4 linked regions of the Drosophila melanogaster genome follow. The main gene of each other region encodes a partner of the protein of the gene in region 2 in a complex. Each region holds a gene or a part of one and is shown on either strand. Other genes may lie near its edges. The genes, in order: MED23, MED20, MED8 and MED18.

Region 1 (11,231 bases), on a different chromosome or scaffold from region 2:
GGATGGGAGCGGATTGCAGGTGAGCCGAGCTCAGCGCTCTCACCTGAATGGTATTTTTTTTTGTTGATTTTGACTTTTTACATTTTGGATCATATTAAATTAAATAATGATTGAATCTGGTATTTTTATTGTTGATATGATCTTGTTTTGGATTTTATTATAAATAAATTATGCTACATTATTGGTCATTAGGCAAAATTATAAAATAGCCTTGCAATTGGAATATAGGCTTTGGCTTAGAAGAGCAATTTCGAAAATTTACCTAAAAAAAATTAAAGAAAAACAAGACTGCTTCAAATTTAAAATCATACATTTTGTTTACTCTGCTCTGCGATAATTTCTCTCCGGATCTGGCAACGCCGAGGTTTCAGGGCCCCAACGTCGCTGATATGCTTTGAAATCATAAACATTTCAAGGTAATTTGATTTATTTGAAATATTTTTATTTTTTAAACTATCCTTTTTTTGTTATATTACGACTCCTAACTGTCAATTGCCCCACACGATGCTCTCGATCCAGTCGGTGTAGAGGTGGACTTTGGTATAGACACTCGGGAGTCCTTGGGAGCCACAAACTAATCCATATGAGACAATCCCTATGACCTGCTTCAGGCACGGATAGAGCGGATGCTGGACGAATATAGGTCCGCCGGAGTCACCGTTGCAGGTGTCCGCTTGGCTGGACATTGAGCCGGCACAGAACTGGGTGCGTGTATCGATGCTGAAACGCAGGCGCTTCTGGCACACCTCGTCACTGAATCGCTGGAGGTTGACCTTCAGCAGGTGCGAGGACTTCACACCGTCCGCGGTAAATCCCCAGCCGGCGGCTGTGACCTGCTGAACATCGTTGCCGCTGTCTGGCGGAAGGCATACCGCTGCCACATGGTCGTTGAACTCAGCCTTCCGATCCAGTTCCACCAGGGCAATATCGTTTTTAAAGCCCTGCTCTTCGTCTTCAGTATCATATCCAGGGTGCACCACATAGTTGACCACCCGAAAGTCCTGAACCAGAGCATCATCGGTGGTGCTGTTGTAGTCCAGCTCCCCCAGGCGAACTACAAATTTGGGCGAATCAAAGTTTGGGTCCAGTCGCTCGGCCTTCGATCTGACAATTAAAAGTACACATATGGAAGGAGTATCACTCAAGAGAATCCCAGAGAATACTTACTCATCCGTCTCCAGGCAATGCGCCGCAGTCAGTACGAATTTGGGATGCACCACGGATCCACCACAATCCCAATTGATGTCCGACTTGGACTTGTTGGGCCGATGAGTGCCGATTAGGGCCATGAAGGGAAACTCTTTACCGGATGCCTTTGTGCCGCCCACGATGAAGGGCGTGGACTGGCAGGCGGATCTGACCTCGTTGTATTGCTTGCACTCTAAAAAAAAAAAACGAATATTCAAATTCCATCAATCGAAGGGAATTGTTGCAGTCACTCCTCACGCTTCTCAAAAGGCCTCGTCTGTTCGGCTGGCTTCAGATTCTGGTGATCCAGCGGTATGGGACAGCAGACAATGTCGTTGAACTCGTCGCAGTACTTGACTTCGGCTCCGATCAGGTGCTGGTTGTAGAATATCACTGGACAGTCGGAGGGCGTCAGCTCCTTGCACTCGCCCGTTCCATTGTCGCAGTACTCGGTCACCACGCTGACTGAAGCAATCAGCAACAGAATCTGGATTCCCGGAAGCGCATACATCGCAGTGCTCTGCGATCACAACTGAGAACGGCGCTCGAGGTGGACAAGATCACCAACTACAGGTTATCTACGAAGAGCTTTAAGCTGGGCTTATTAAGTCAAGCTTTTGATTGTAAAGCTGGAGGGAGGACTTGGGCCGACAGCTGTGACTTACAAAAAGTTCCCTTAGTATCTAACTTAAACATATCTGAGAACTGTTTACACATTCAATGGAAAATGAATAATGCAATAAGCGATAAAATATAAGATAATACTACTATAAATTAGGCTTATGTCGTTATGTCAGCTTGAACTGACTTGGGAGTCCCACAAAGTCTAATTGTGGCGCATGTTTTGCATGTGCTGATGCTGCTGCATGTGCTGCATATACATTTGTTGCTGCTGGTTGATTTGCTGCTGCTGCTGTAGGTTGCCACCGCTGCCCAAGGGAACGCTGGTTGTTTGTACTGCGTTGATTTGTTGCTGCTGCATCTGTTGTTGCTGCTGTTGCTGCTGCTGCTGCTGCTGTTGCTGTTGTTGTTGCTGCTGTTGTTGCTGATGTGGTTGCTGCGGCTGCTGCTGATGCTGTGTTTGCATTGGAGACTGCGTTTGGCTGGTTATTGCATTATTGCTGGTATTGTCGTTGCTGAAATTGGAAAAGTTATGTTTAAACCGAAGTAGAGTTTGAATTAAATGGCCCTTACATCTTTTCAGTGTGAATATCCTCCAAGTTAAGGTGGGTTATGAACCTCAGGCGCATTTGCAGCAGGGGCCGTAGCCGCTTAATGATGGCTTCCGATTCGTTCTTAATGATATTACCCACATGTATATACTTAATGTGATAGCTGAAATGATACAAACACATTTGTTTAGTACCCTTTCATGCGATTTTGTGGATTTGCTTACAGGAAATCGCAGATCTGGTCCATGTACTGCAGAGGCTTCGGACCATGATGCTTGTCCACGATCTCAAGAATTTCGTAAAGCAACACGGCTATGCCAGCCACAGCGTTCGGTTTTTCCAACTCTATTCGTTGCAGGAAGGGGCCAAAAACGTGGCACAAATACAGCAATTGTTGTTCGGTTCGCACGCACGGCTTTAGCTTCTCCTTGAGGTACCTGGTCATTGCCGCCAGCTTAAAGGCGCCCATGTGATGGAACACTGAGTGAGCTACTGCCAACACCACGGCGTAGGTCTTTTCTAGCATCGCCTCACGCACTGTCTTGAAGTTAAACAACTCGAAAGCATTGAATCTGTAGGTCCAGTTCAGCATATTGGGTGTGTTGAGCATATCCTGTAGGCGATCGTATATGCCGCTCCAGTAGGGCTCAGGCAAGGCAGCCAGAACAATGCCCACAGCATTAATGTAGCTGTGAATGTCCTTTTGCGGAATAACCGCATATCCGCTTACTATAACATCGATGAGATTGCTGGCCACCAGTGGCGGTGCCACCGGCAGACCCAGCAGCTCCACGCATGTCACATAGAGCGCATGGGTTGGCGCATTCGGGAACTCGTTAAAACGCCAATCGGTGGAGTAAAATACATTCTTCCCACTAATTGCTGCAAAATAAAAGGGGTTACGCATGAATATATGAACACATCATAGTATTTTCCCAAATCCTAGCTTACTGTCTGCAAGTCTCCTGATCAAACTCATATAGTAGCTCAATTCGGGGGTCCACAGCGAGTCTTGGCTTTGCAAATACACCTTGTACGGCTCACTAACACTCCAGTTGGGCGGCCGAATCTCGCTAAAGGCGCTGGTGATAGCGCCAACCTGGAACAACACAGTGTATTAGAAGAAGGGAATATAATATTCATAACAAATCTTACAAGTTTCTTCTTTAGCGCAGGGCGGTCTCGTAAGATTCGCTCATAATAATGGAGGGTGTTGTACAGATATGTTATAGGTCGATCTGCAATTTAAAGGGTAATTTAAAGTTATGAAATTCTCGAAAGCCACTTTTAACATACCGTGAAACTTGTAGAGTATGCTCAGATGATCCAAAATGAAGCCCAATATCTGGTGGACATTTGTAATGGTAAGTTCGATAAATCTGTGCACTACCACATCCAGAACGGGAAGGAATCGCAGACAGACATTGCTGAAGTACACGGGCAGCGGAATCTGTGAAGCTGACTCGTCCAACGCGAACTTCTCTGGATACTTTTGATGGAATGACAAGTGTTTGTCCTGCCTGAGAAATAATAACAACTATGCCTTTGTGCTCTTAACAAAATCAAGTGTCCAACTTACCAGTTGCTCTGCTTCCAGTGATCAGGATTATTGTCCTTGCAGAACTCCTGAACACGATTTCTCAGCTCGCTGGCTTTCAGCAAGAGCAGCTGAATTATGAGAAAGCAGACTTGAGCCTCGTTACCCTCGTGCGTTCGCAGAGCCAGGCAAAGCACAACCCTATCGATGGTCACAACGTTGAACTTCCAAATCATGTTGTTAATGGTGTCGACGCACTTGTGAATAAAGTCGCGGCCATCCGATGAGCTAGCTACCTCAGCCACCAAGTAGTCACAAAATTTACGCAGATGAGTGGACAAGGCTCTCGCGCTTATACCCTCCAAAATTCTAAAAAAAAAGGTATGGTCAGAAAAAATGATTGTGTTTAAATCATAATGTTACGCACTTGTAAGCCACTGGGCTTATGTTCTCCGTCTCCCAAATTATTTTGAACAGAAGGCAAAGGAATAAAGGATTCGTAGTTGGACGCAAGAAGTGCGCAATTATGTCATTCTCGTTGGTCATCGACGTCCAGGTTCGATATTCCTCTTCCACGGCCTTCTTCAACTGCTGCTTGTTCTCCGGAGGTTGGTTGTTCTGCGTAAAGTACTCGTTTAAGGCGGGCGGAAAGCAGGCTAGGGAATGCATGGGCCACGAGTGCGGCGTGTGCTGAATGATGTTGGAAAGGAAGTCCTTGCACCATCCCTGCATTTCATCGCCGCCACCATGTACGTGCATGGATCGAGCTAGCGTAAGAATAAGTACTCTGTTTAGCTCTTCGCTCTCATTAGACGCCACTGCTCCGGGAGATTTGTCGTTAAAGTAACGCGAAAACTGCGGCTGAAACTCGGCGGATCCAATGCTGGTGATCAGACGCAGTGCAGTAGATTCAAAACTATACAAAGGGAAGAACTTAGAAAGAAGTCTATACTCGATAAACGTATAACTAACCAGAGATTGAGCTGCATCTTGTTTGTCTGCGGCACGGAGGACAGAGAATGAAGGAGAGACAGCAATTGGACCCGGTAGTGAGTAGGAACATGGTGCAGCCGGTACGAAAACATCTCCATTAAGGTGTGCAGCATGGCCCACGCATGGTTCTTAAACACTGTTGGCATCAGTTGGCCTTTAGGAGGAAAAAAAACCATAAACATATTGTTTAATCACTTCAACAGGCTGTACTTACTCAGGAATCCCTTTATACCGAGCGACTCGATTTCTGTATAAACCAGAAGTCTGGCATAAGTTTCCAGTAGTGCAGCCGCTGGAACTTGACCCTTGCTTTGGGCCTGTTTTAACATCTGAGTTACGAAGCTGTGGATTAACGACATCTTACTGTGCACCGTCAAGCTGTCCAGAACCGTGACCGAAAAAGTTACGGCTGGGATTTGGCCACCGTTTGGAGATTTTGAAGTGCCATTTAGGGCATCCAGCAGTAGACCCATGGGACGCCCGAAGTACTCCTGATTCGTTGAGTATGCATTGCAGATGAGAATTATGCGGAAGTCGTTTCCTAGCGTCATGTTCATCATGGTGTTAGCCGTGACTAGGTGCTGCAGAAAGCTGGGAATTAAGCAGTTAGTATCTAAACACCAAAGGAAGTTAGAGGTATTACTCGTAGTGGTTTTTCAGTGCAATTGGCAATGGTCTGGTGATGTTCATGTTTTCCACTCGTGCCTTCTTCATCAGGTGAATCCAAACGCAAATGGGTGCCATATGGCGAACCATCGAGGATTTATTGATATCTGGCAGCTTAAGAGGCTCTAGCTCGGGATATAGTAGGTCAAACAATCTGAACACAGGCAGGAAATTGGTGATCTAAAATTAAAAGCGATTAAAAATAAGATCAATCAGGTGGAGAACAGGATCTTACAGGATTTTTCTGTATGCTTCCGGATATAAACTGCAACAGAATCCACATAAGTTGATCGCGACCCTTGCGAAGCTCCAACTTGGAAAGCTATAGGTGAAAAGTAGTTAATTACAAGAAATATTAATTTCATCCACCATGGACCTACCTTTTCGTGGAGCGCCAACACTATGTGCATAAAGCTTACGAACTGAAAGAGCACAAAGTAAATTAGTTGCGAAGAGAGATGCAGCCACATCCACTCGTAGGGCGTGATCTGCTCGTCTGAGGAGTTAAAGCCACTTCCCGCAGTGGCATCATTCGCCTCCGTCATCTCCATGGCCTGCACTATGAGATTAACCAACTGCTCTTCCAGGGCATTGTAGCGCTGCTTCTGATGCTTTTGCAGGTTCAGCATTTGAGAGACCATTTCCCTTGAGTACGGCTGCTCCAAAACGTAGCGGAGTAGGGGCTTCTGCTCTTCGAGCAGCTCTGGCTCGTAGGGCAGGCTACCCTTAAAGTTAAACTTCAGGGTATTGTGGTCCAGTCGCCAGGAGTTCATCATGTGATCGGCATAGCCGAAATGCTCTACGATGGGAAGCATGCTGGCATGTCCAATGATCGAAACCATTTGTGCCGTGGTGCGGAACTCTTCGACAAAGTCGGTCATCAGCCGGTTGAGTTTCCAGTGGTAAGGAAACGGACGCATAATCTCGTTGGCAATAAAGTAGGCGGGCAGCAGGCAATTGTTGCGATCAAAGATGAATCGCAGGATATCCTCAACGGCCAGTAGCTGTGGCATGTAGGTAACGTTGACGTTCAGCGGAAACCATTGTGCCTTGTCGCGGCATACCTTCATGATCTCGCGCACACCCTTGTAGTCCACCTGGACGATCACACGCTTGATCAGCCGGAAGCTCTCGATCCAGAAGGTCCTGTGCTCGAAGTCCAGTTTCTCGCACATCAGCACCTTGTCGCACAGCATCCTGGCGGTGATCACGTGTGCGTCCACCAGCTTCACCAGTGCCGCCATCAGCACTTTGATGTGATATCCGGAGGCACCGGCGGCACGCAACAGGTAGAGCCGAAGCACCTGCTCCCGGTTCTCCTGCGCCACGTTCCCAAAGGCGGTAACTGAAACAGATAGTTTTTAACAATTTTCGAGTTCCAGCAGACGCATTTACCTACCCAAATCATTGGCGAAGCGGGTAGCTCGTTCTTGCTCGGTGTTTGGCTTGAATACAATGACGCTAACGAACGCCTCGTCAAGGGAGTCGACCTTCTGCGAAATGGAGAGCGTGGATGAGTGGGTGATTTTTTGGAGACGCAGGGTTTCACTATTACCAGAAACTCGTTAACGGTGTCTATAACTTGCGTTTCCATATCCATTTAAATTATTTTTCGCATATCCGACACCGCATAAACAAAAACTACCTGGGCACAGTGTGACCAAATGGGGCTTAGTAAAGAATCTAAAAGTGGCTTTTTCTGATAACAAGAAATAGCTAAAGGATTAGATTAAAAACGCCAGGCAGGCAGCACTGACTGATTAGCCGGCATTTAAAGCAGCTGGTCGCATTGAGTCGAAAATTACTTTAGAAACTAATTGACTTGATTTGTGGAATCGCACAAAAATCATGAAGAAAGTTCTGGTTACAGGCGGAACTGGGCTGGTGGGCAAGGCCCTGGAGGCTGTGATCAAGGAGCAGTCCCCAGAGGACGAGCAATGGTTTTTTGCGGGCTCTAAAGATGCAGATTTGACGTAAGTCATGAAGAAATTCAATTGAACGTATCCGTAAACAAATTCTCTCCACAGAAATCTGGCCGCCACGCAGGCACTCTTCGCCCGAGAGAAGCCCACGCATGTCATCCATCTGGCTGCAATGGTCGGAGGCCTGTTCCACAACATGAACAACAACCTGGACTTCTTGGTGAGCTCCTGGTCTCACAGATGATTCCAAAACCCATTTCATGCGAATCCACTTTTAGCGCAACAACCTGCTCATTAACGACAATGTCCTGCAAACGGCACACGAGCAGGGATGCGTGAAGGTGGTGTCCTGCCTGTCCACATGCATTTTTCCGGACAAAACCAGCTACCCCATAGATGAGACCATGGTGCACAATGGGCCGCCGCACCCCTCCAATTATGGTTACTCCTACGCAAAGCGACTGATAGACGTGCAGAACCACGCCTACCACGATAAATATGGCCGGGTGTACACCTCGGTCATTCCGTGCAACATATTCGGTCCCCACGACAACTATAATCCAGAGGTCAGCCACGTTATTCCGGGCATGATCTATAGGATGCACCAGCTGGTTACGGAGAAGACTGACGTCCCCGAAAACGACAAGGTGTTCACCGTTTTCGGAAGCGGCATGCCACTACGGCAGTTTGTATACTCCCGGGACCTGGCGGAGCTGATGATCTGGGTGCTCAGGAACTACGAAAGTGTGGAGCCCATCATCCTAAGCGCGGACGAAGTGCAGGAGGTGACGATCTTCGAGGTGGCCCAAGCCGTTGCAAAAGCATTTAATTTTAATGTGGGTTAAAAAGCGAAATTTGAGACAAGGCAAGATATTAACTTGATTTATTCCAGGGAAGACTGGTCTGTGATACGAGCAAGTCGGATGGACAGTACAAAAAGACTGCGTCTAATGCCAAGCTTCGCTCCTTCCTGCCAGACTACGCATTTACGGACTTGGAAACGGCAATCAACGCCTCGGTTAAGTGGTACATAGAAAACTACGACCAGGCTAGAAAGTAATTGAATATTCCAACCCCAAAAAAAAATGTAAATAGACAACGAATTTTCACAGAACTTTATGCGCGTTTAATGTCCAACAAAATAACAATACCTTAATCAGTCCAGGAGTCGCCGTATTGGTTCTTCCTTCCAGCGGGTTCACTTTGTGCCTGCTCCACGGGTCGCTGTTGAACGGCAACTGGTGGTTCGTAAGGTCGCGAGTATGGACTCTGCTGGTGCTTCGAATACTCTTCTCGGTTCCTTCGTCGCAGGTCCTCGTAAGACTGGCCCGGCTTAGACGGCTCCAAGGGCAACTCTGCCTCCAGCATTGAACCAGCTGCTGGGAAGGAGAATGTACAGAATCATAATAGGGAATGCGAAGAATTAGATGAGCTTACAGTCCAGGGTGGGGCGGTAGATGTCGTCAAGGCCGGACAAAGTAGGGCGCGATTCCGTGTCCAGATTGAGAGAAGTGCTCCTCCCGGGCTGATACGCCTCATCGCTGTACACGTCCGCCGAGCTCGGCGAGAAGGGGGCCAGAGTGAAGGCCCTGCCCAGATTCTCGTCCGGTGTGATGGAGCTGATGACACCGCCGCCCTGTCTACGCTGACGCAGCAGCTCGCCCAGATGGGAGTTGGGTAGGCGCATGATCTTCTCGGCACACTTCTGCTGGTAACTGAACTTGCCCACAAAGTAGCCCAGAATGACGCCCATCACGACCTTGGGCACGGCGCCGTACTTGACGTGTCCCTGCAAATAGCCGTTCTTGACGCCGAAGTAGGCCAGCAGGCCCAGTCCAGTGCCGAAAGGCAGGCTGCGCTGGAAGAAAGACTCAGTGTTGCACTCACGTAACGCCTTCACCTCCTCCGCAGAAAACTGATAGTCCGCCTGAAATAGATGCAAACGTTTGGGTAGTGGCAGTTTAAGGACCGTAGAGCACTCACCAGGGGGTGGGGAGCGTGCGGCGGTGGATGGTGAGAGCCATCGTTCAGCGGGGAGTCCATGCTGATACAATTTAATGTGGAATTTGTGAAATGTATAACGGACCAACTACCGGCGCAGCCGATTTGCCAACCCTGGTCGCCGGCGAAACGGGCCAGTGACTTCTGCACATCTCCAGAACTAGTGATGGTCGATCTATGCACGATGGTTGCGATAGGGACTCTTTGTCTATCCTAAACTGGTTAAAAACCTTTTTCTTTAAGAAGTTAAAACTAAATAACAAAGACAACATTCATTTACAGTTGATACAATGGAATTTGTTGTCAATATAAGTAAAATTTGGAATAGACTTTCATTTGATCTTAGTAGTAAACAAATCACATTTTATAGAATGCAAAGTTTGCGCTGATTATCATTCATTTTATTTATACAAAATTTTATATATTTATGTAAGTTTAGCAACACTATCAGCAGCGTTGACTGTACGGAGAGGCAGTTTAGATATATAAACCAAATTAAAAATCGAATAAAATCAAAACCACCAGTCGACAAACGAATACACTTTTGAAAATTGCCAGTAATTGGAGAACGCGTGCTTTGATAAGAGGTGGAAAGTCGCGCACCACCAGAACCAGGGATGCAACGCGCACGACGCGACGAGATTATGACATTTTCGCTGTCAAGTAAAGTTACAGCTGTGTCGTCTGCTGGCCGCGATCCTGAGCCTGCCCTTGTAATTTATTGAAATTTGTAGTTTTGGCAATGTTTTCCACCACCACACACTCCGTGGTAAGTGCTGCCCGATGACAATACATTCATTCGCCCACCTGACTGCTCCATTTCTACCACCCAACACTTGGAATCGGGGAACTGCGTGTGATGTGATGTGACAGCCCTACCTGTACCTAGGCAACTTCAGCAGAAAGCCGCACTACTACTCCGTTAATCGAACCAAGCTGCACGGGAGCGCGGGAGCTGCCCGGTTGTCCAAGTCCACGTCCACGTCCAGCCGGAGTCATGACCTAGTGCTCGACCTGCGGAACCTGCTGAGCCGTTCGAGCGCCAGTATACAGGGCATGGTGGAGAGGGCGGCTCGACTGAATGGCATTCTCGACCGGCGGCTGGTCGATGATGTGCTGGCCAAGGTGACGAGCATGCTGCCCTCCATGCGCGATGTCCGAGTCACGTTGGAGGAGTCGGCCACACAGATCGGTCGTGTCCAGCTGCAAAATTATCAGTTCGAAGTTTCGCTAACCGGTGCAGCAGGTTCCGTGCCCACAGGCGCCAATGTGTACGTATTGCAAATTATCCTTTCGAGGCTCCGCTTAATCCTGGTTTATGTTTTCAGCAAGGTGATTCCAACTATTACACCAGGTCTTCTTCGTCCGCTCTTCTCACAACAACAGCTGTAATTATACGGAAAGTATCTACGAACTATATCTCAAATTTAGCTCTTTATAGAAATCAGATACGTGGCTTTAAGACGGATCGTTCCATTGAGGCGGAACAAAAGCGCAATCCCACAATGACCTCCCGACTAAAGAATGCTCTGGCCAACTCGCCCCAGCGTCTGGATGGGGACACACCCCTTCAGGCTGAAAAACTGAGACGGCTGCTGGCCAAATCCGAAGAGCATGGATTTAATAAAGCCGTAGGACGACAGGGTCTCTCAATTGTTAACCGTACTAATGTTTTGTATTCCAGGAGAGCCTGAAAATTGCCTTTGCCGAGGGCTACTTGGCCGCCGCTAACTCGGAGGACTCTCCAAAATC
Region 2 (6,737 bases):
CAATGTGTCTTTCACAAAATGCCTTTAATAGATTTTAGAAATCATTAGCGAATGTATCTTGACAAAAGTTTGCAAGCATATCGAATGGAAATTTATCTAATTTGTATTATCTAACTCTTGAATACATTTTTAAACGAAATGAAGTGAAAATCGTTGAAGAAACCGTCCAATTAATTTATGCAAATAATGAATCTGCATAGTTTGTAAGTTTTATACGTATATACGCCTTCATATGAACCACAATTAGTTTATAAATTCCCAACACAAATCTCACATAGCCATGTACATGAAGCTACTAAGCGAGAAACAAGGAAATTTTTGTACACAACTTAAGAATGTCGCTCCTTTCCGTACCATAAGAATCGAATCGAATCTCTATGAAGTGTCTTGTGTTTTCTTTTGTAATAAACGAAACCTGAAAATAAATAAAAGTAATGTTTATCCAAATGTGTTTTCTTTTCATGGAATGTGTTGGTACACTTCAGAATTTGTGGATTTGAATATTTTTCCCAAATTCCAGGAATGGGTACAAAAATGTATAAAAATTCAAATTACTTACAAATTTATTATTAATTCAAAGAATAGAATGAAATGGATTACAAGACATTAATATATAAAAATTTATTTAAAATAACAACAGTTTTTTTTAAATAAAAATTAATTTGCTTAGTAAGGCCAAAATAAAATCTTACAATTTCTATGAATTTACCCATGGAAATTATTAATTAAGTTGTTTCATTTCACATTTTATACTAAAAAAGTTAAGGTAAATATATTAAAAATATTGTAGTTATGGAATATAACTAAGCTAAACAAAAACATTTGGATGTGTAGAAACAACTACGTCTTGCGAAAACTTAGTAAAATAGGTGATATCGCCTCCAGGCAGTCCATAATGTCCTTGCGCGACTTGGCGCCCGTAAATACAACCTTTCCGTTGACGAAGATCAGGAGAACGATGCGCGGCTTGACCATGCGATAGATTAGGCCTGGAAACATCTCCGGTTCGTAGGAACTAAACTGCCCGTGCACGTGGTTGAGGTTCTCCAGGCGGATGGGGAAGCGCAGATCAACGGTGGCCACAATATTCTGCAGCTTGTATTCCATGAACTTTACGGGGAATCCCAGCTTCTGCAGGATGCGTGCGAACTTTCGCGATCCAATGTCCGCCTCAATCTCGTTTCGTGCACCCGTGCAGATGACCTTGCCCGTTCGAAAGATTAGCGCTGTGCACCTGGGCGAGTGCATTCGCATGATGACGCCACGAAAGCGCTTGGGCGAGTACTCCGAGTTCCTCGTACGCGAGTTGATTGCCTTGAGGTCCAGTTCACAGTTCACCGAGAAGGTGGCCACGATATTCCTGCAAGTTATGGATGTATCAATGGGTTTCTATTTATTTCATGAAGTGCCTCTGAAAAGTGGTCAACCAACTGCAATCGTATCTCATGTTGTGCATCCTTGGGCTCCACCAGGGCAACGGGCTGTTGCGGCTGCAGGGCTGCGTGCGGATTGGCGGCAGCATTGCTGGTCGCAGCCACATTATCCCTGTCCCTTTCAGCGTCCGCGACTTTAAAGTGAAACTGCATTGCCGAAAATTATAAACAAATCCGCACGCGACGTGGCCAGTGTTGTCCTATTTTATTGCTGACGAAAATTGTATGCCGGTTTGGTATTTTTATTTGTCTAACTTTTCTCATGACTAAAAAGTCAGCACTGGTCACACTGGACGCTTTTAGCTTGCAAGACTTGTAAACAAAATTAATAAAACTAAAAAGCTGACATTATTGCATAAACTATGGGAGTAACTATCCTTCAACCGTATCCCTTACCCGAAGGCAAATCGGGTGCCCACATAATCGATCAGCTGAGCAAGCGTCTGCTCGCCCTGGGCGCCACACATGCCGGTCAATTTCTGGTGGACTGCGAAACGTTCATCTCGACGCCACAGCCGCACAATGGAGCACCTGGACGCGCAGTCCACGTCCTGCACAACTCCGAGTATCCCGCCTCCACGTTCTCGATCATCGACAATGGCACCGGCAAACAAGTGGCCATTGTCGCCGACAATATCTTCGATCTGCTCATGCTCAAGATGACCAACACCTTCACCTCCAAAAAGCAGACCAAAATCGAGTCCCGTGGCGCTCGTTTCGAGTATGGTGACTTTGTTATCAAACTCGGTTCCGTCACCATGATGGAGCACTTCAAGGGCATCCTCATCGAAATCGAGTACAAGTCATGCGTGATTCTGGCCTACTGCTGGGAAATGATACGCGAAATGCTGCAGGGATTCCTCGGCATTGCTGTGAATAAGGACTTTCCCTCCTATTTCGCTCCACAGACAATAATGACGGCAATGGGGCAACAGCAGCTGCATGCCAAGCACAACGACATCTTTGAGCCAATGGACACCGTGAAACAATACCTGGAGCAGTTCACCAACTATAGGAAGCATGTGACTCTTATGGGCGGTATGGGCAGTGGACCGGGTAGCCAACAGGTTGGTCCGAACGTGCATATGTCGCCGGCGGTGGCGGGACTACATCGATCCTGATCCGCCGACGTCAAGCTGGAGCCACCGGATGAGCCTGCAGCCGATTAAGATGTTTAGAAGATAATTTAAACAAAAAAAATATACATATGTCACTAATATTTAATAATTAAATAATCATTATTTTAAAGCTAGCATCACTAGTTTGCTTTACATATTTTAGACGAATAAACAAAACATTTATTAGCTTGTCCAAATACGTTTAAAATATTATAGTTATATATATATATATATATATATTTTGTGCAGTGTACAGTTTTTTTCATATATTGGTTATTCACTACTTTTTTATGTATTTTTAAAACAGCTGATTGGAATAATGATTAAAGCTGTGTGGTATCCCTGCTCGCACGGCATTTTACCGTTAATGAAATCTGGCCACACAGTAGGCCGAGTACTCAGTACTATCGGGCAAATTGACGAGATTATTTAAACAATAATGTCGGCCCACAGCGGCGGAACGGATTGGAATTCCGTTGTTAAAGCCCTGATACTTAACCGTACAGGAGCCTTAAACAAGAACGAAGTTGTTAATTTGCTCAAAGCTATCACGCGATGGTAAGTACAAACGATCATCTAGAACTTTTCGCCTACCGAATGGCGTAGTGAAAAATTTTCTGCTAGTGCAAAAAGTGACTTGCAAAATTAAATATGGCCGCTCCGGTGACGAAATAGCAAAAAGCTTTGAAAATTCTTTAATATCGAGAACTAACAACGCTCTATTCCGATATTTGCATAGCGAACATGACTTTTTCGAGGAGGAAAGCAATTTCACGCAGTTTTACACGGCCTTTGCGGCCCTGGCGGCGGACAAACTTATGCAAATCAAGACAAGTAAGTGCACCCTAATGATTTTTCGCCAAATGAAAACAAAACAAAGAAATGTTTGGCCAAGAATCGAGTGATTCACTTGCGCCAATTCGCGTTCGCTACATTTATCATCTTGGTGCTTTTCAGTTTGCCAGACGCAGATTTGTCAGTTGCACGATGCCACCGCCGTGCTTATCCGGTTTATTATCTATAGACTGCCCAGGGTGTCCGTCTACGAGACCAAGTGGCTCCTGGGCGCCCTCAAGATGCTCTGCGAGGGCCGGGAGTGCCCAGCATCAGCGTCGTCATCCATGTTCGACTACAATGCGGTGGCTAATGTTCTTAAAAGCTGCAAACATCCCGAGTCGACCACCAAGAGCATTATGCCCAGCAGCAGTTCCTCCGGAAGTGGGGCCAGCAACGACAAGGAGTCGCCCAAGTCGGAGATTAAGCGATCCCGGTCGGACCTGTCCTCGGTTATTCTGCAGCAACTGATTGCTCCTTTAGAGCCCGGCAAGATGACTTGGGTTCCACTCAGCGAGGAGGTCACCGACTGCACTGTGAGCAAATAACTTAAACTCCTGTTTTAATAGCTTCCCTAAGATCGGTCATATTTGTCTGTTATTATTATAAATTACTCTTGAATTGAGTAGGTACGGATATATTACACAACTAAACTAAAATGCAATATTCTATCTAATGAAAATATTTATCCTACTCGATCAATTTAGAAGTTGTGTATAACTATTAGCTATGAGCAAATTTATATTTTCTTAAAAACGAGATACGCAATATTAAAAGCTTACTTCTTTCAGGAACAAATCCTGGCGGCCAATGTGGAGTACTTCCAGGAGCAAAACGGAGTGGATACCCTGCTGGATGTGTGTGTGAGCCTGCCCATACTCAATCGATACCGATCCAAATATATGGAGACCATCAACGGCGGTAAATCGCTTTATTTGCCACTGACCCAAGTGGAGGCCACTGCAGTGAAATCGAGCATGAATCACATGCTTACTGATCTGACTATTTTGAGTCAGGCCCAAGCCCTGATCGAGATGCAGCCACTGACTCCCAGTAGAATTGAACGACTATCAATGTGTGGTATTGCTGCGCTATACAATGCTGTGTTGACCTCAATAGCCACCAGTGTTCTCGGTATGAGCCAGGCCAGCAGCTCTCAGAAACAGACTGCATCCACTAGTCAAGGAAGCGGAGTAGGAGGTTCTAGTGGTGGGCAATCCAACAAAGACCATGACGACTTTGAGGATCAGGCCTGTAGCATAGTGAACAAAGCTTTAGAGATCTACTCCAATATTGGTCACATGTTCAAAACTTCGGCCAGGATTCATGTATATCAGAACCATCTCTGCTATGGCAGCTGGCTGCTAATTAGCGGTATACAAGGAGCAATGGGCGCCTCTGGAAGCGGTGGATCTAGCTCGGATTCGGCATCGAAGTCGGCGTCAAAAGCGACCAAGTCTGGTAGTGAGGCTGGAACCGCACCTACTACACCTATTGCCAGAGTCAACCTTTTCAAGGTACAGCAAGGATTTGGAGAACTCAATGCAGCTATTGCTAACCACAGCATTAAATTGCTCTCAGAGCTAATAGAAGATCTAAAGGTTGAAGCCGCATGCGGACAGAGTCTCGAATCCACAGAGCTCCCGGAGCCTGCACAGTTCGATATTTTGCAGAACTACAGTTCGCTGGAGCGGATTGTCCGCGTGCTGAATACAGCCACTCTGCATCAACTTTTCACTTTTCTAGCCACTGTGGCTTATCGCAAGGCATGCACCTTAAAGCGCGCTTCCGCCAAGGATCGTACGGAATGCGAACCCATAAGCTACTCAGATTCTACGACTTATTTCAACGATTCTCTCTCCTGTTCGGACAACTCCGAGGAGGACGATAGTGAGAGTTACCTGGGCCACTGGTTTAAGGAAACTCTTTCTCCAGAAACCCATGATGATAATGCAAACACATCCACACAAGAGCGTGCTGAACAGAAGAGCGCCCTTGTCCCCAAGCTAGATGAGCCACATGAGTATTTAGACTTGGCCGCAGACATATTCTGTTTCCTGGATCAATTTTTGGCCAATCGACATGCCTACATGCAGCGCTATGTAAAGGCAGGCGTTAGTGATCAGCAAATGCTGTTAATGGCAAATATAATCAAAGATTTTGACCGCGACGTGATGCGAAATGAGAGCGATCAGGGGTCGGGAAATGCCCCAGCTGCCAGTGCAGGAGCAGGAACCTCTGCAGGAGCTTCTACCAAGTGGCAGACGTCGATGATTCGATTTTCGGGAGCTGCAGGCCGATATATTCACAATTTGATTTCCACTTCATTGCTGTCCGAGCAATTGCAGTCAAATCTGCTGCAGCACTTGTCTATATCGCCATGGTCTACTGATACAAACACCTGGCCTTTACAAGTTTATCCGAGTACTCTGTCTGTACTGGTGCAAATTCTTTTGCTGAAGCCAACACAAGAGAAGGAAGCCGCCTGCCTGTCCGTGTGGCACCGCCTTATTAACACGTTGGTGGAAGGAGTTTGTTCTTCGAATACCGCCAGTGATTCTGACTATGAAGACCTTAACATTGAGCACGCCCAACTGCTGCTTTTCCTATTTCATTCGCTCAATCTGATGCAAAAGAAATCCATTCTGCTTTTAACGGCTGGCGGTGTTATCCGTTGCGCAGAAGTTTGTCGTGGAATCAGCGAGGATAGACCCGTAAAAAACAGCCAAATTATGCTGCTGTCTCGCTTGCTGCTCTTTTTGGAGTATCTTATGAAGCACTTGTACAATGCGCCTCCGGAATTGCTAGACCAGGTGCGCTGGAATCTTTTTAGTGTGAGCAGCATGCCGGACACCCAAAAGATCACGGATCTGCTAAACTGCCGAACCAAACTGAATTCCTATTGCCGCCATGATATTGAAGAGAATTTCCGCAAGTCGGCCGGCGAATATGGCTCATGTAAGTGGAGAATTTAATCTCCAATTCCAGCGATACTCAACCATCTTGATTTTTTTTTTAGCAATTCGCCCAACTTTTTACTCTCTGGTAATGGGTGATCCCGAGATATCCTACTGGGCTCAGGAATTTAAGCTGGATGGTTTGGCTTGGAACTTTATTCTCTGCACACCGGATAAGCTTAAATATCCGCTACTGGTGGATGCATTGACTGACATACTATCCATCACCGACATGTCAATGTATTCCAAGGAAAAGGACAAGGAAGCGAGCATGCATAATCTTTGCGCTATACAGTATTGCTTTACGATTGCCTGGAAGCTGAATTTGGGTTTGCCGCCCTCTACTTCTCACGTAGAGTCGCTGAAGGCAGAGCGATCACCCAATCTGCACTCAC
Region 3 (6,475 bases), on a different chromosome or scaffold from region 2:
GCTGGAGGATTGGTACGGCAGCACCTTCCGGCAACATCTGCCCAGTCATTGGTACGATTTGATCGTGAAGTCAAATAAAATTCGTGTTGAGCACGGCATTGATCCAAGGATCATATTGTTTGCCAACGATCCTGGTTCATCGGAGCCGGACCGCACCAGCATAACCACCCTGCCACAGATGGTGCTGCCGTGGCAGTCAAGCGAAGGAGGATCGCACGACTGGAACATGTTCATCAGCTTCTGCGACTCCACCAAGATAGTGTGGGCTCGGATGATCGATCAGATCGCAAACTTTGAGGAACTGACGAAGCATATTGGACGCCAAATGGAGTCTCCGCATTTCCGACAAAAGGTCTCTAAACCTTACGCTCAGGAAGTCTATTTAGTGGAGATGCCCGATGGCTGGAATCGTGTTCGTGCAATTTCTGTGGATGAGGAGACCCGCTCGGGCCGTTATCACTTTATCGACTTTGGCGATGTGGCAATGTTTCATTCAGAAGATCTCTTCCACTGTCCACCGCAGTTCTTGGCGCTCCCGGCCCAGGCCGTGTGCCTCAGCATGTATGCGTTGGATAAGTTCGAGGATCATCCGCACGCTCTGCAGGTTTTAACAAAGGAGCTGGACGGCCAGACGGTTGTGGCCCATGTGCTCACCACGGAGAAGCAGTTCCTGGAACTGGGTGGATCTGCCCAGGGTGTGGTGGAGAACGGTAAGCGTCGGGCGTGCTTGGTGGCCACGCTGTACGACACCTCAACGGCTGAGGACATTCATCTGAACGATCTGGTTGCGAAAAGAATAACGAAGTGCACGCCGGCACCATCGCTGAGTGATGAAAAGAAGATCGGCAAGACCACGCCCATTCTTGTGTCTCACATCAACGATGATGGTGATCTAATGGTGCTGCTACGCAATGATGACCTTAAGTTTGTGGAGCGCAGTATTGCGCAAACTGTGGCTGATTTGGGCGAGCAGGACCGAGTGAGCTATTCGGATCTGCTCCACGACCGCCATATATTCGTGTGCGACGAGACTGTCGATGGCGTCAAGCAGTGGTTCCGCGGGCGACTGGTCACCAGACCACTGAATCCGGACGAAGAGTCCTTCGATGTCTACTACGTGGACGATGGACGGCAGCGTAAGGCGCACATCTCTAATATCTACCGCCTGGAGGCAAACAACAGAGCTCTGGCTACGTTCCCGCCACAGGCGATACCCGTTCGCCTGCACGACGTTCCAGAGATCGGAGGTCATATGCTTCATCGCCTGCGTGGTCTGATACCTTGGCGCACCGAAGCTCTCGTAAGTGTTTTATATGAAAGGGATGTTTTGAAAGCTTGTCGAATCCGTAACACCATTTTCTCCCGCAGCTGAAGGTTGTGGCCATGGATGGTGGTAAGCCTCTGGTAAACGTATTCATCCGCGAGGATCCGGAGTCCATGTATATGTGCGTGAACATTGGCCTTCGCCTGGAGCTCGAGATGGCTAGGTAAGTGCCTTTATTGAAGCTTTTGTACAATGTCTATTCATTCTATATCATTATGGTCAATGTCATCTAATCACATCGTCATCAAGCTCCCTAAACAACGACATCTGAATTGTGACTGGTGCCCTATAAGTTTATATTAACAATATAATTGATCCTTTGCTTAATGCTATCTCTATAAGTGCTTCAATAAACCGGAACTGACTTGATATGTTATTGCTAACACAAATTCGATCTACGTTTTGTAAGCTTACCCTAAAATCATGCACATCTTTGTATATAATCTGAAAAATATACTCTTAAGCTGCCACACATATGTACTTTACTACCCAATAAGCCCGAAAGCAATCAGATTTTTTAAACCTTGAAACCAACAATTGCCTCCCAATCCCCCAATCTGGCTTGTTCCCGCCCCACCCTTGATTCCCCACCCACACAGCTCCATTCATCCGGAGAAGTATGATCATACGCTCCTGAGCTCCAATGTCCAGCTGCCCAGACGCGGTAGCTTCAGCTCCGTGTTCTCGAATCAGAGCAGCAGCAGCGACCTTGTCGCTACCACTCCCCCGGTGACGCCAGAGAAGAAACCATCCGCAAGATCGACCGGCAGCACCTTTTCGTCTCTCATGCTCAAGGATTACGAGGCTATTCCGGCAGTGGGTGCCTATTTCGAGGTGCGCGTTGCCCTCTCCGTCAATCCCGGTCACTTTGCGGTAAGTCAATCATCAGCAAATTAATGACTCCGATTATGATGTGCGATTCTTCCGCAGGTGCAACCGTACAAATACTATAACCAGCTGCAGACTTTGATGAAGAATTTACAAGAGCATTGCCAAAAGACGGCAGCCAAGGGAGTGCAGCCTTCACAACTGGCCATTGGAGAGGCCTACGCTGCCCCTGACTCCGAAGGCGTATATCATCGGTAAGAACTTATTCAGGTCTTGCAATAAAAACGCAGACTAAATCTGTTAATCTTGCAGCGTAAGTATTCACAAGATTTACGATGAGATTATACACGTGCGTTTCGTCGACGTGGGCGACGATGGAGTAATTGCCTGTGATCAACTGAAAACTCTAAATCCGGAGTTAAGAAAGCTGCCCAAGATGGCATTGCCAGCACAACTTTATGGCAAGTTCAAGAGAACTTCAGCAGTTTGGCGTTAGAACTAAAAACGATCTTCTTTCAGGCATACAACTGACTGATGTAGTATGGAGCAAGGAGAACTGCGTCCGATTCCGGGAACTGTCGCTGGGTCAGAAGTTTATTGGCATTGTGCGGCGAATGACTAAACAAAAGGATGGCGGACGAGCGCTGTGCCTGGAGCTGGTGGACACCTCCACGCCGAAAGATATTAAGCTGCACGAGATTCTCATCAATGAGAAGCACGCACAGCCAGCAACATAAGAAGTCTGAGTCGGAGGAGACGATCCATTTAAATTTGTTCATGTTTATGTTTGCGTAATCCTAGTTTTAGAATTAGGAATATACATATAACTTATTACGACGAAACATTCCGCCAGATGGAACCGATAATAGCTAATAAACTGATGTTTTTTATCGAGAGAACGGATGCACTTGATTTGCGGACTTGATGTTTGTTTTCACAGCCGATGGCGCCTTTCCCAGCTGCTGCTGCACGTTGCCGGGACTCATAGCGGGTCCACCCATTGGCGAGGGTGCTCGAATTGAAGGCGGTACCATCATGCCAGGTCCGGGTCCATAGTTGGTCAGCTTGAGTCCTTTTCCCATACCCACGGCGGCCACCAGGAGCTGTGTGTCGGCCATGCTACTCGTCTGCTGGATGCCGGTGCGCGAAGAGCTCTCGATTTCCCACTCCTCGCGCGCTTTGCTGACCATATCCAGGACGTGGGAGACGACCTTGTTGTATTGAGTGACCTGTTTCATGGCAGCGTCGTTGGTGAGGTTCGCCGCCTTCTGTTCGTTCTGCAGCATTTTCTGTTCCGTAATCGGATCCGGCCGAGTTCTCAAATAGTCTGGAACAATGTCGTGTGAAAAGACTGGCACCCGACCCTCTGTGATGTTGATGAGGGTGTCATCCCGGTCCATGGAGACCAGAAGGGGCAGGACCGTTCGATTTCTTAGCGGCGGACACTGCTCCTTTGCCAAGATTTTCGTCAATCCCGTCAAGTGACTTGAGATAATGGCAAAGTTGTCCAGGAAAGTCGGCCAGTTGATGGTCTCGTACTCTAGCTCAAGTTTTTGGATCATCGAGAGAACCGCCAGCTTCAGGTCGTTCAGACGCTGAAGGACCGTATCCAGCGTCAGCTCAAAAAGCTTTTCGTCGCGCTGCATTTTGGAAACTCCCAATTAAACTATTATTTTTAACTTCAGTCGGATGGACACAAAGTGGAAAGTGTGACCGTGGATCTGCTTATTATCATTTGTTAGTCGGGTGTAATAAAATACTGCAACACCGTACTATCGATAACGTTTGCGATAGCAGCAAACTGGCGTCCACACTACATTCAGATCCTAAAATTAAAATCATATGGTCAATTAAGGAAACTGAACAATAAAAAATGAATTAATGCTCACCAATAACTAATAATTGATCGTTATTATTTGTTTCTGTTTTAATTTAAATAGAACTAATAACTTTTATTTTTGCAATAATTAGCAGAATCGTTAATGCATACTTAAAATAATGTCAAAACAATATGATATGATTTAAATAGTCTAATATATAAAACATTCCCAAAACGAATAGTGTTTTCAACTACGAGCGCCTCTTGAAATAACACAATATTTATTATTAAAATATATAAACTGACTCGAGTTCATCAGACTCTGAACAGTCCTTAGACTATTGAAGCCAAGCCATCGATTGTGCCCCGGCATATCGATACTACCAACATGGCCGTCGAGAAAAATTGAAGTGAACGCAACGCCGTGTTTTTCATTTGCCAATAAAACGTTAACAGCTCACGAAATATCGTAAAGCGTGCCCGCAAACGTCGCCAAATGTAAGCAAATTATTTTAGTGCCTGTTTTACATCGTTTACATAATTGCCAGAGCTGAAATTCGAAATTTAGTTGCTGCCGTCGGGAGTATCGCCAACTTTTGCCTCACACTCTCTCTCTGTCTCGCTCTGCATTCCTCTCGTGCTGACAAGGCAAATATATTGGTGCTGGTGTGAGTGTATGTGTGAAAAATGGAAGAAATTCAAAATGCATATGTGAAAAGATATACGCGCAAGCCGATTAAAAATCGGCTCTCTCGCACGATTTTGATTGGGACCACAGGTCCCCGACCCCCGCGGCGTGATATGGGTTAAATGACAGCCGGAGCGCGTCCGCGATTCTCTCTGCGTTTTCAGGTCTCTCCGCTCTATTCCCATTCTGTATAACTCCGCTCCTGATATTGTTGTTGCTTTGTGTTAGCCATTTCTAATGCTCTCTTTACATGTTTCTATATTCAATTGTAATATATTTGCAGCTTGTTGTGTATGTTTTTGAAATGGTAAAGTGTGTTGTCGCGTTCGCCAAACCGAATCCGAAACAGTAAACCAAACCCTAACCGATTGGGGGTAATAAACATTGAAACCCGAGTACATACATACATATATCTGTCGCGCGATATATATACATATACATAGTTGCCAAAGCGATAGAAATCCGAAATCTCGCGATGGCGTCGCGCAGGCGCGCCGAACTGAATCCAAAACTGCACATGGACAGGCAGCCGACAGCTGCCCGCATAACAGGTACCTGAACTGAAACTTCTACCAACTACCAGCAAGCAACTGCATAGAAGTGGGAAAACCCAATTACCTCGCCGGGATTAGCGATGTCTAAGGGCCCATAAACCCATCAGCCCGTCTTAGGGGCTTCCCGGAACAAAGCACCGCCCACCACCCTGCCAATCGAAGCTTACCTTTTACCTCTCAACCTTGCAGATCCCTCATTACCCGCTGGAAAGCGACGCGAGATCGACAACGTGATGAAGAAGGCGCGCGCCAACACCACCAACGATTATTGGGACAAGAAGCTGATCGAGGCAGAGGAGAAGGATCCAAACCGATGGCGCCACACGGGCTACAAGAAGATGTACATCCAGGGGGAGAGCAGCTCTGGAGAGAGCGAACGCGACGGTCGCGAAGGTCGTGAGGGTGGAGCACCGCCCTACGGTCGTTATCCGCCCACAGGTGGACCGCCGCCAGGTCCACCGCCTCCGTCGCAGCGTTACGGACGCTCTCGTTCGCCGCACTCACGCAGTCGGTCGCGTTTGCGCAAATCGCCACCGCTTTCACCACCTCCGCGTCGTCGTTCACCGCCCATGGCTATGCACAGTGGCATGGATCGCCGTGGTGGACCTCGCTCGCCGCCAATGCCACGATCGCCCAACAATAGCCACGATGCCCTCATGCGTCGACCCGGAAACGGCCACGGCGGAAGGCCCCGATCACCGCCGGAACCCAGTGGTGGCTCGTCGTCCTCGTCGTTGCGACGCAAGCCAAACGCGTCGCGTTCTCCGCTCGGACGTCGCCGGTCTCCACCGCTTCCTCCGCCCTCGTCGTCGGCAATGGAGAAGCGAGGTCCAGTCGCCCATATCCTGCCGCGCTCCAAGCGACCGCCATCGCCACCACCGAGGGTGAGTTTTCAACCAGATAGTGATACATATTATTCTGTCAGTGAGAACCATACCATTTATACATATATCCGTGTCCCTTTGCAGCACTCGATGCGTTCGCGATCAAACAGCTCTATGAGCACCAGCTCCGATGATTCCTGCTCCCTCTGCTCACCCAGTCATCGTCACAGATCTCGGTAAGTATTGATATATGAAATGTGTTTTCTTTGTTCCTATTAAACTTTTTTTTTTCCATCTTAAAGATCCCGCGGTCCGCGCTCGCCGCCACCCAAGCCACGTGGCCATTATCGTTCGGGGGCGCCTCCGCCCCCTCCGTCGGAATCACATGGCCGTATCCATGGTCGCCCCACCACTCCACCGCCCGTGCGCGGAGGTGGA
Region 4 (6,845 bases), on a different chromosome or scaffold from region 2:
AGGATCTCCTCGTCATCCGACTGAAAAAGGTCGTAGTCCATGGTGCAGTCGGGGATTTGGCGTTCGAAACCAATTCTCTGGCGGATAAGATTTTGCGCGGCGATATATTTTATTATTATTAGAGCGCTGTGCAACACTGTCACAAAGCCGATAGCTTCGATAACGGCCGATAAACAGGTAATCTTTGTGACATTTGGACTTTTGTTTTGGACCTGATTTGGCCCCTTTTCTTATCGTTGGTTGCCCCAGTTACGTAGCATCTCCACTTCGAACACCATGTCTTTCCGCCCATTGGTCGAGGGCGACTGCGGTGGAGTTAATCCTCTCATGCAACTGGGCGGACAGTTCACCCGCGATGTTGCCCACAAGGATGAGGGCTATGTGCAGCGACACTTCGAGCGCGCTGCTCGTCCCGAGGACCAGTTGATCAACGAGTTCCTGGGACAGGTCACTGCCCCACCGCAGTCATTTCAGATGGACACTCTGCTCCAGGAGATGCGGGACATAAATATTCACGGAAATCCGCAGCAGCAGATGCACTCTCAGCAGGCGGAGCAGTGGGGACAGGACTTTGCCCGCGGACTGGCACCCGCCCTGCCCAACAAGATGATCCACATGCAGGCACAGCAGCAGGACCTGCAGCATGCCCAGGAGTTCTTCGACGAGCCCCTGATCAGTAGCCAGAACTTTCGGTCCCTGCCGCCATTGCGTCAGCCTTTGATGCCCATTGCGGCAGGACAGCAACAGGACCCCTTCTTTGACTCCGCCATGGAAACTATAATCACAGATCATCTGCCACAGGCGCCACAGGGGGAATCGCTGGACGACTGGATCAGCGACTACCAGCGCAGCACCGAACAAAAAGAGCAAACCGCCGCCAACTTCAACGAAAAGTTCTGGGAGCGGCTGCAAGACGAGTGGCAGAAGCTGGCCGACGAGAACGAGCATCCGTGGCTGTCGGAGTACAACGACAATATGGACGCTTATAAGGAGTACGAGTTCGCCGAGGGCAACCCCATGTCTGATGTGGAGAACCCGTTTGAAAAGGGTAAGGAGTACCTGTCCAAAGGGGATATACCCAGCGCAGTTCTATGTTTCGAGGTGGCGGCCAAAAAGCAACCGGAGCGCGCTGAGGTCTGGCAGTTGCTGGGCACTTCGCAGACAGAGAACGAAATGGATCCCCAGGCCATTGCGGCACTTAAGCGGGCTTACGACTTGCAACCGGACAACCAACAGGTCCTGATGGCCCTGGCCGCGTGCTACACCAACGAGGGCCTGCAGAACAACGCCGTGCGCATGCTGTGCAACTGGCTGACAGTGCATCCCAAGTATCAGCACCTGGTCGCAGCCCATCCGGAGCTGCAGGCCGAGGGCACTTCGTTGGCTTCGTCGCTGATTGGTCCGAGTAAGCTGCGCGATCTGCAGCAGATCTACTTGGAAGCCGTTCGACAGCACCCTTCGGAGGTGGATGCCGAAGTCCAGGATGCCCTCGGCGTGCTCTACAATCTATCTGGGGAGTTCGACAAGGCGGTGGACTGCTACCAGTCCGCTCTGCAGGTGGATCCCCAAAATGCGAAGACATGGAACCGATTGGGGGCCAGTTTGGCCAACGGCTCGCGCTCCGTGGAGGCGGTGGAGGCTTATCAGCAGGCGCTGCAGCTCCAACCGGGCTTCATCCGTGTGCGTTACAACGTGGGCGTATGTTGCATGAACCTTAAGGCCTACAAGGAAGCTGTGGAGCACTTACTCACAGCGCTTACCATGCAGGCTCACACTAACGCCGCCCGAGAGCTGCCCAATGCGGCGATGGCGGCTACCTTTAGAGGACAGAACCAGATGTCCGAGTCTATTTGGAGTACGCTGAAGATGGTCATTTCGCTGATGGGCCGCAGCGATCTCCAGAGTTATGTGAGCGATCGCAATCTGGCGGCTCTTAATGAGGCCTTTAAGGATTAACCGCCCCGCAGCTTCTTTATCACTGCTTTGGGAAAGTCCGTTGTTGTCGTGTCATGTGGGTGTGTAAGGTTGAATTTGAGATATTTTTTACTCTGGCAGTGTAATCATTCCCTCTCGGTTCTTTTCTGTAAATTTGTATATTTTCTTACATTTAAGAAATTAAATAACTGTTGGATAAATGCGATGTGCACTTTTATTGTAAACTACGGCATGCCGCCCAGTCGCTTGTAGTCGATCTTCTCGAGCTGCACGAGTGGCTTTAGTTGCTCGGCAAACACGCGCATTTCCTCGCCGACATTCTCCTGCCCCGTTGGCGCCACCACAGAGAGTTCCACTATGTAGCTTTGTGAGATTGGCTCGTTGGCCATGTCCTGCTGCTTGCCGGGCACAATCTTAATGAGCTTGGAGACGGTAATCTTCATGCGCCCCTTGCGGAACATATAGCCTGAAATAAGTCCATTTGTCACTATCCATTTTGGCAACCCAAGCGTAATATATTTCATGATTCCAACCCTTTGCTATGTACTCGAACTCCAGGCGGAAGCCCATTTCCGTGAGGAATTCCAAAATGCCATTGGTGCAGGCGCAGTCCATGCAGCTGCGTACCAATGTAGGCCGGCGCAGATCCACCTCGGGGTTTCCTAGGTAGCGCATCTGAAAGGGTGCATCGCGACCAAGGGCTCGGCGCACGCGAAGAAGCAGCGGCTGGTTGGCATTGGGCTGGCGAAGGCTCATACACACTTCCAGATCGTGAAACGGCTCCGGCGAGGTGTCCACATTGTCGCAGAGTCCCTTTAGTCTGATAGTGGGTAGGCGGTTAGACTGTTAGTCGGGTGCAAACGATTCAAATCTGACACTGGGTCTCCCACCTGTGCATCAAGTGTTCCACGGCGGAATCCAGGATAGATCCCTGCAGCAAGTACTCCAGGTTGGGCAAGAAGCGGTTGTTCATCGCATGGGAGAGCGACTCACGGGCCGACGACACAATCGCCATTGGCTAATTTTGTAAGTTTGGGTGTACTATGGTATTAAATTAACTGAGCAGTAGTTTGGTTTTGTTTTTAGTTTCATTTCCTTGGAAGAATTCGTTTTACTAGTGATGCCGTTTTAGACATTTTCGAACAGCACTAGCTAGATGCCGGAAAATCAAATAGTCTATCGATAACGATGAACGTAAATCGACGCGCACAGAATAATAGCAAATACGAATTTTGCTTAAAGCATATTCATAGAGATTGATTTACCGTAAATGCCCCAACGACGCCCCCAAAATGGCGGATCATAAGTATAGGCTCTTCAATGCGGTCGACCCGAGCAAAGTAAAAGTTCCCTTCAATCAAAAGTTCGCCAATTTGACGCTATCCTCCCACAAAAAACGACTCCAGGTGTCCCATGCGCCGAAGGATCATCCAGAAAAGAGGAACGACCAGAAAACAAGGAAACTGCCAGCAGCTCCCATGCGCGCCAATGTGGGAGCACCCGCTCCGTCCTGCGGGGCAAATACGGAGGACACAGAACTCGACAATTCCGACTACATGGAAGCCTTGCAGCTGAGCGCCGACGGCTGCAGCCAGGATGTGGCAAATGTGGGCGATGTAGAGCTCCTGTCCGCTGGCATCAGCAATTTGAAAGTGCAGCCCATAAATGAGGAGCACTCGGCCAAGCCGGAGATCTCCATTTGCATTTCCTCCACTACGGAAGAGAACGTATCCGGCGACGACGACGCCGCCTCCTGTATCACCATATCCGATTCTAGCGAGGATGAGCAAGAACCCTTGCCTCCCGATAGCATGGCTGTGAGTGAACGGGAAATTGTGGCTAATCCCGGCCAGGAAGACATACCACAGCCCATGCTCACAACCGAAAAAGTGCAGCGCATCGAGGCTTTTCTGCGCGATGTGTCCATAGAGCGACGCGAGATGGAGTGGAATGGCCCATTGACACCGCCCCCCCTCTCTTCCAGCCAGCGGCAATCCCGTCTAGCCGATGCGGACACCGAATCCATGTCGCCCACCGACGAGGACTGGCAGCCACCCACTACCAGGCCGATTTACAACAGCACACAACTGGCGAACAACGATACGCAGGTGAATACCATCTGCTCAGCAGATGCCACTCGATTGGATAGCAGCAAGCGGTTGGCAGACGACGAAACGGAGGCGAATACTCTCGGATCGGAGGAGCTTGAGCCCACATACAGCAGCAAGCGTTTAGCAGACAATGACACCGAGCCCAACACCCTGTGTTCTGATAGTTCTGAGACCCATAACTCGACGATTCACAACAATGAGCCCGTTCCTGATGAATCCATTGAAATACCGGAAACCAGCAGCGAGGGCGAGCTCACGCCGCAAAAGGCCAGCTCTGGTTCCTCCACATCGGGAGGGGACGAACACGGTTCTATCCAGGTCAGCAGTATTAATATTTCAGCGAAGATCAACATTAAAATCAGCATTCCCACTATGGAGTCAAGTTCGGCGGAAGACGACGATGAGCATTACTCTTCGCCCAGGGCCACTAAGTCCCTGCCCAGCTCGGAGGAGGTGCAGCACCAAGAGCACCAGCAGCAGGACCCTCAGAGCCACCAAAAATCCATGCTGTCTGTGGATGATGCATCCGAGGATGAGCAGTTTCTCACCCACGCAGAAAAGCTGCTCAATCAATTGTACGGCAAGTCTTGGCAGACACCAGATGTGATCCGCACTCTAAAGCGCTCCAGTGGTAGTGGCGGTAAACAGGCTCCTCTGAGGCCCAGGAATATTCAAGCAACAGCGGTAACCACCGCTAAAAAAAAGAAGCCCAAGCCAGATGAAAGTGTTCTCGGGGACTTCAGCATATGTAAGAATTTATCCATGCTTTTTATCCTCCAACCGTTGAGTCACACGCGCTTTAATCCCCAGTTACTAAACCTCTGCGCACAAATCAGACTCCTTTAAACTCGACTCGTCTGCCTCCGATGCGCGCTGTCCAAACGGAGAGACGTCCGCGGACTCAAAAGCCGTTGACACGCCCACGCACCAATCATATAGACGAGGATCGCTGGCGCAAGCTCATAGATTCCGACAGCGGGACAGACGCCTCCGACGACGAGGATGCAGATGCCACTTTTAGCGAAAGCGGTAGTGATAGCGACAGTGATAAGGACAAGGAGAACAAGCAAAAGAGAGGCGACCTTACCTATCTCGACTTGAGCAAAGACGAGGTGGAGGTGATCAGCAATCCCGACCAGGACTCGCCGTGTAAGAGTTGATATTAGTATTTTAAATGGCTGACTTAAATGTTTTAGTAACTCATTATTCTAGCGCCAAAATGTCACCGTCGCCTGGACGACATACTGCGATCATGTCGCGCCAGCGTTAAGGCTAAACTTCCTGCCACTCCTGTGCAGCAGCCAAACATTCGTCGCCAACTTTTTACCCCTAACGCAGGATTCGAGAACGATAACCAAGCTAAGGAGATAGTAAACAGGGCGTTGGACCTGGACATGCTGGATGAACTGGAGAGCGACTACCTACCCGGGACTCCAGTCCACAGGAGAGTGCAGGAGGTAAAGAAGAAGCTTGGCATTGGGCAGCAAGGTCAGACAACGCCCCACGAGAGCCCAATTCTCAAGTTGCTTACGCCAAAAACGGCTCCGCCTAAAGGCACTGCTCCGCCCAAAACATCTGCACCGCCAAAAGTTTCTACCCCCCCAAAATCCACTAAGCAGATTCCAAAACCTAGGAAGCAGAAGGATCTCTCACCCGTTGCGAGCGGCGGCAAGTGCGGCTTTCTGAAATCCCTGGAGGGACAAGTGAGCCGCGATAGGGCGGACAACGAGGCCTTCTTCTATCGGGAAAACTTCGCAAGAAATAAGGATCAGCTGGCCCAGCATCTTTACAAGATGTATAACGCCCAGGTGTTCAACAACGAGCTGGATGTGCCCATCACCTGGTCCAAATTGCTGCGCAACACTGCCGGCCGGTGCATGAACAAGCGCAAGTGGGTGATTCTTATAGAGACAACCAGATATCCTCCTTGAATTCGATAAATATATATTGTTTGCAGACTTAACCAGCGTAGCAGCGTGGTGGAACTGAGCGTCAAAGTGCTGACTACCGCGGACCGCCTGCGTTGCACCTTGATACACGAACTCTGCCATGCTGCGGCCTGGGTATTCAATGGCGAGGGTGGACACGGACGGGTGTGGAAGATGTGGGCACAAAGAGCCAACGACAAGTTCCCCGATCTCCCGCAGATCAAGGTCTGCCACAACTATAGCATTGAATTCAAGTATACCTACAAGTGCCTGAGCTGCGACAAAGCGTAAGTTCTCCCAAGTGATAAAAAGAATATTATTGTCATGCAGTTTTTACGCATCACAGGTCACATGCCCATTCCCGATCCCGCAAGGTGGAAGATTTGCGCTGCAGGATCTGCCGGGGACCCATCACCCTCTTCCTGAACAAAAAGGACAAGCAAGGAAACACCGTATCCACGCCGGCGGGCGAGGCGAAGGGATTTGCTAAGTTCGTTAAGGACAACTTCCAGAGACACAAGCGCGACAACATGACTGCCGCACAGGTGATGCGCATCCTGAGCGTGGAGTACGCCAAGCAGAAGGGTCAGCCGGCGGAGGAGACAGCGGCGTCGATCGCCAGCCGAGTGGAAACGCTGACACTGGACGAGTCGTCCAACTAGCTGGGTTCTCTTTTGAGTTTTGTTAAATTATGTGCTCCAAGCCCTAAACCATTTTTGGTATATCATAGACAATTTGAAAAACTTAACTGAGATCTCAGTTCGTGCGAAGTAGTAGAAGTAGTATATTTTGTTTAATGTATTATATATTTTCTTAACCAGAAACATGGTTTCCATTAAAATTAAACGGACATTTAAAAGCTAGTGCTGTA

What was found.
Region 1: MED20 (region 2) and MED23 share a complex: the UniProt entries of both Drosophila melanogaster proteins name them as parts of the mediator complex.
Region 3: MED20 (region 2) and MED8 share a complex: the UniProt entries of both Drosophila melanogaster proteins name them as parts of the mediator complex.
Region 4: MED20 (region 2) and MED18 share a complex: the UniProt entries of both Drosophila melanogaster proteins name them as parts of the mediator complex.

The regions. Positions count from the first base shown.
Region 1 is NT_033778.4:22,884,933-22,896,163, reverse strand, and holds MED23 (mediator complex subunit 23), read right to left. Parts: upstream 7,237-11,231; 5' UTR 7,151-7,236; coding exon 7,112-7,150; intron 7,050-7,111; coding exon 6,956-7,049; intron 6,902-6,955; coding exon 5,937-6,901; intron 5,879-5,936; coding exon 5,792-5,878; intron 5,737-5,791; coding exon 5,534-5,736; intron 5,482-5,533; coding exon 5,105-5,481; intron 5,045-5,104; coding exon 4,870-5,044; intron 4,814-4,869; coding exon 4,325-4,813; intron 4,267-4,324; coding exon 3,940-4,266; intron 3,881-3,939; coding exon 3,657-3,880; intron 3,599-3,656; coding exon 3,516-3,598; intron 3,460-3,515; coding exon 3,312-3,459; intron 3,243-3,311; coding exon 2,585-3,242; intron 2,524-2,584; coding exon 2,383-2,523; intron 2,325-2,382; coding exon 2,015-2,324; 3' UTR 1,739-2,014; downstream 1-1,738. Other genes in the region: CG3700 (uncharacterized protein), read right to left, coding at 489-1,104, 1,168-1,381, 1,447-1,699; Gmer (GDP-4-keto-6-deoxy-D-mannose 3,5-epimerase/4-reductase), read left to right, coding at 7,405-7,529, 7,584-7,698, 7,757-8,314, 8,371-8,538; asrij, read right to left, coding at 8,631-8,857, 8,916-9,405, 9,462-9,521; YME1L (YME1 like ATPase), read left to right, coding at 10,222-10,248, 10,353-10,750, 10,808-10,867, 10,921-11,110, 11,164-11,231. UniProt on the Drosophila melanogaster protein: Component of the Mediator complex, a coactivator involved in the regulated transcription of nearly all RNA polymerase II-dependent genes.
Region 2 is NT_033779.5:8,067,820-8,074,556, reverse strand, and holds MED20 (mediator complex subunit 20), read left to right. Parts: upstream 1-1,708; 5' UTR 1,709-1,795; coding exon 1,796-2,554; coding exon of another isoform or gene 2,555-2,602; 3' UTR 2,603-2,745; downstream 2,746-6,737. Other genes in the region: Trf (TBP-related factor), read right to left, coding at 841-1,360, 1,432-1,586; poe (purity of essence), read left to right, coding at 2,991-3,109, 3,291-3,385, 3,509-3,921, 4,177-6,343, 6,405-6,737. UniProt on the Drosophila melanogaster protein: Component of the Mediator complex, a coactivator involved in the regulated transcription of nearly all RNA polymerase II-dependent genes.
Region 3 is NT_033778.4:20,322,925-20,329,399, forward strand, and holds MED8 (mediator complex subunit 8), read right to left. Parts: upstream 3,883-6,475; 5' UTR 3,799-3,882; coding exon 3,040-3,798; 3' UTR 2,920-3,039; downstream 1-2,919. Other genes in the region: tapas, read left to right, coding at 1-1,300, 1,369-1,487, 1,924-2,197, 2,255-2,406, 2,465-2,613, 2,672-2,889; CG8929 (uncharacterized protein), read left to right, coding at 5,135-5,210, 5,403-6,097, 6,182-6,273, 6,340-6,475. UniProt on the Drosophila melanogaster protein: Component of the Mediator complex, a coactivator involved in the regulated transcription of nearly all RNA polymerase II-dependent genes.
Region 4 is NC_004354.4:1,862,119-1,868,963, reverse strand, and holds MED18 (mediator complex subunit 18), read right to left. Parts: upstream 3,056-6,845; 5' UTR 2,951-3,055; coding exon 2,826-2,950; intron 2,779-2,825; coding exon of another isoform or gene 2,756-2,778; coding exon 2,469-2,755; intron 2,402-2,468; coding exon 2,160-2,401; 3' UTR 2,077-2,159; downstream 1-2,076. Other genes in the region: CG14803 (uncharacterized protein), read right to left, coding at 1-41; Pex5 (peroxin 5), read left to right, coding at 40-177, 250-1,956; Gcna (germ cell nuclear acidic peptidase), read left to right, coding at 3,228-4,794, 4,857-5,195, 5,259-5,937, 6,004-6,261, 6,321-6,636. UniProt on the Drosophila melanogaster protein: Component of the Mediator complex, a coactivator involved in the regulated transcription of nearly all RNA polymerase II-dependent genes.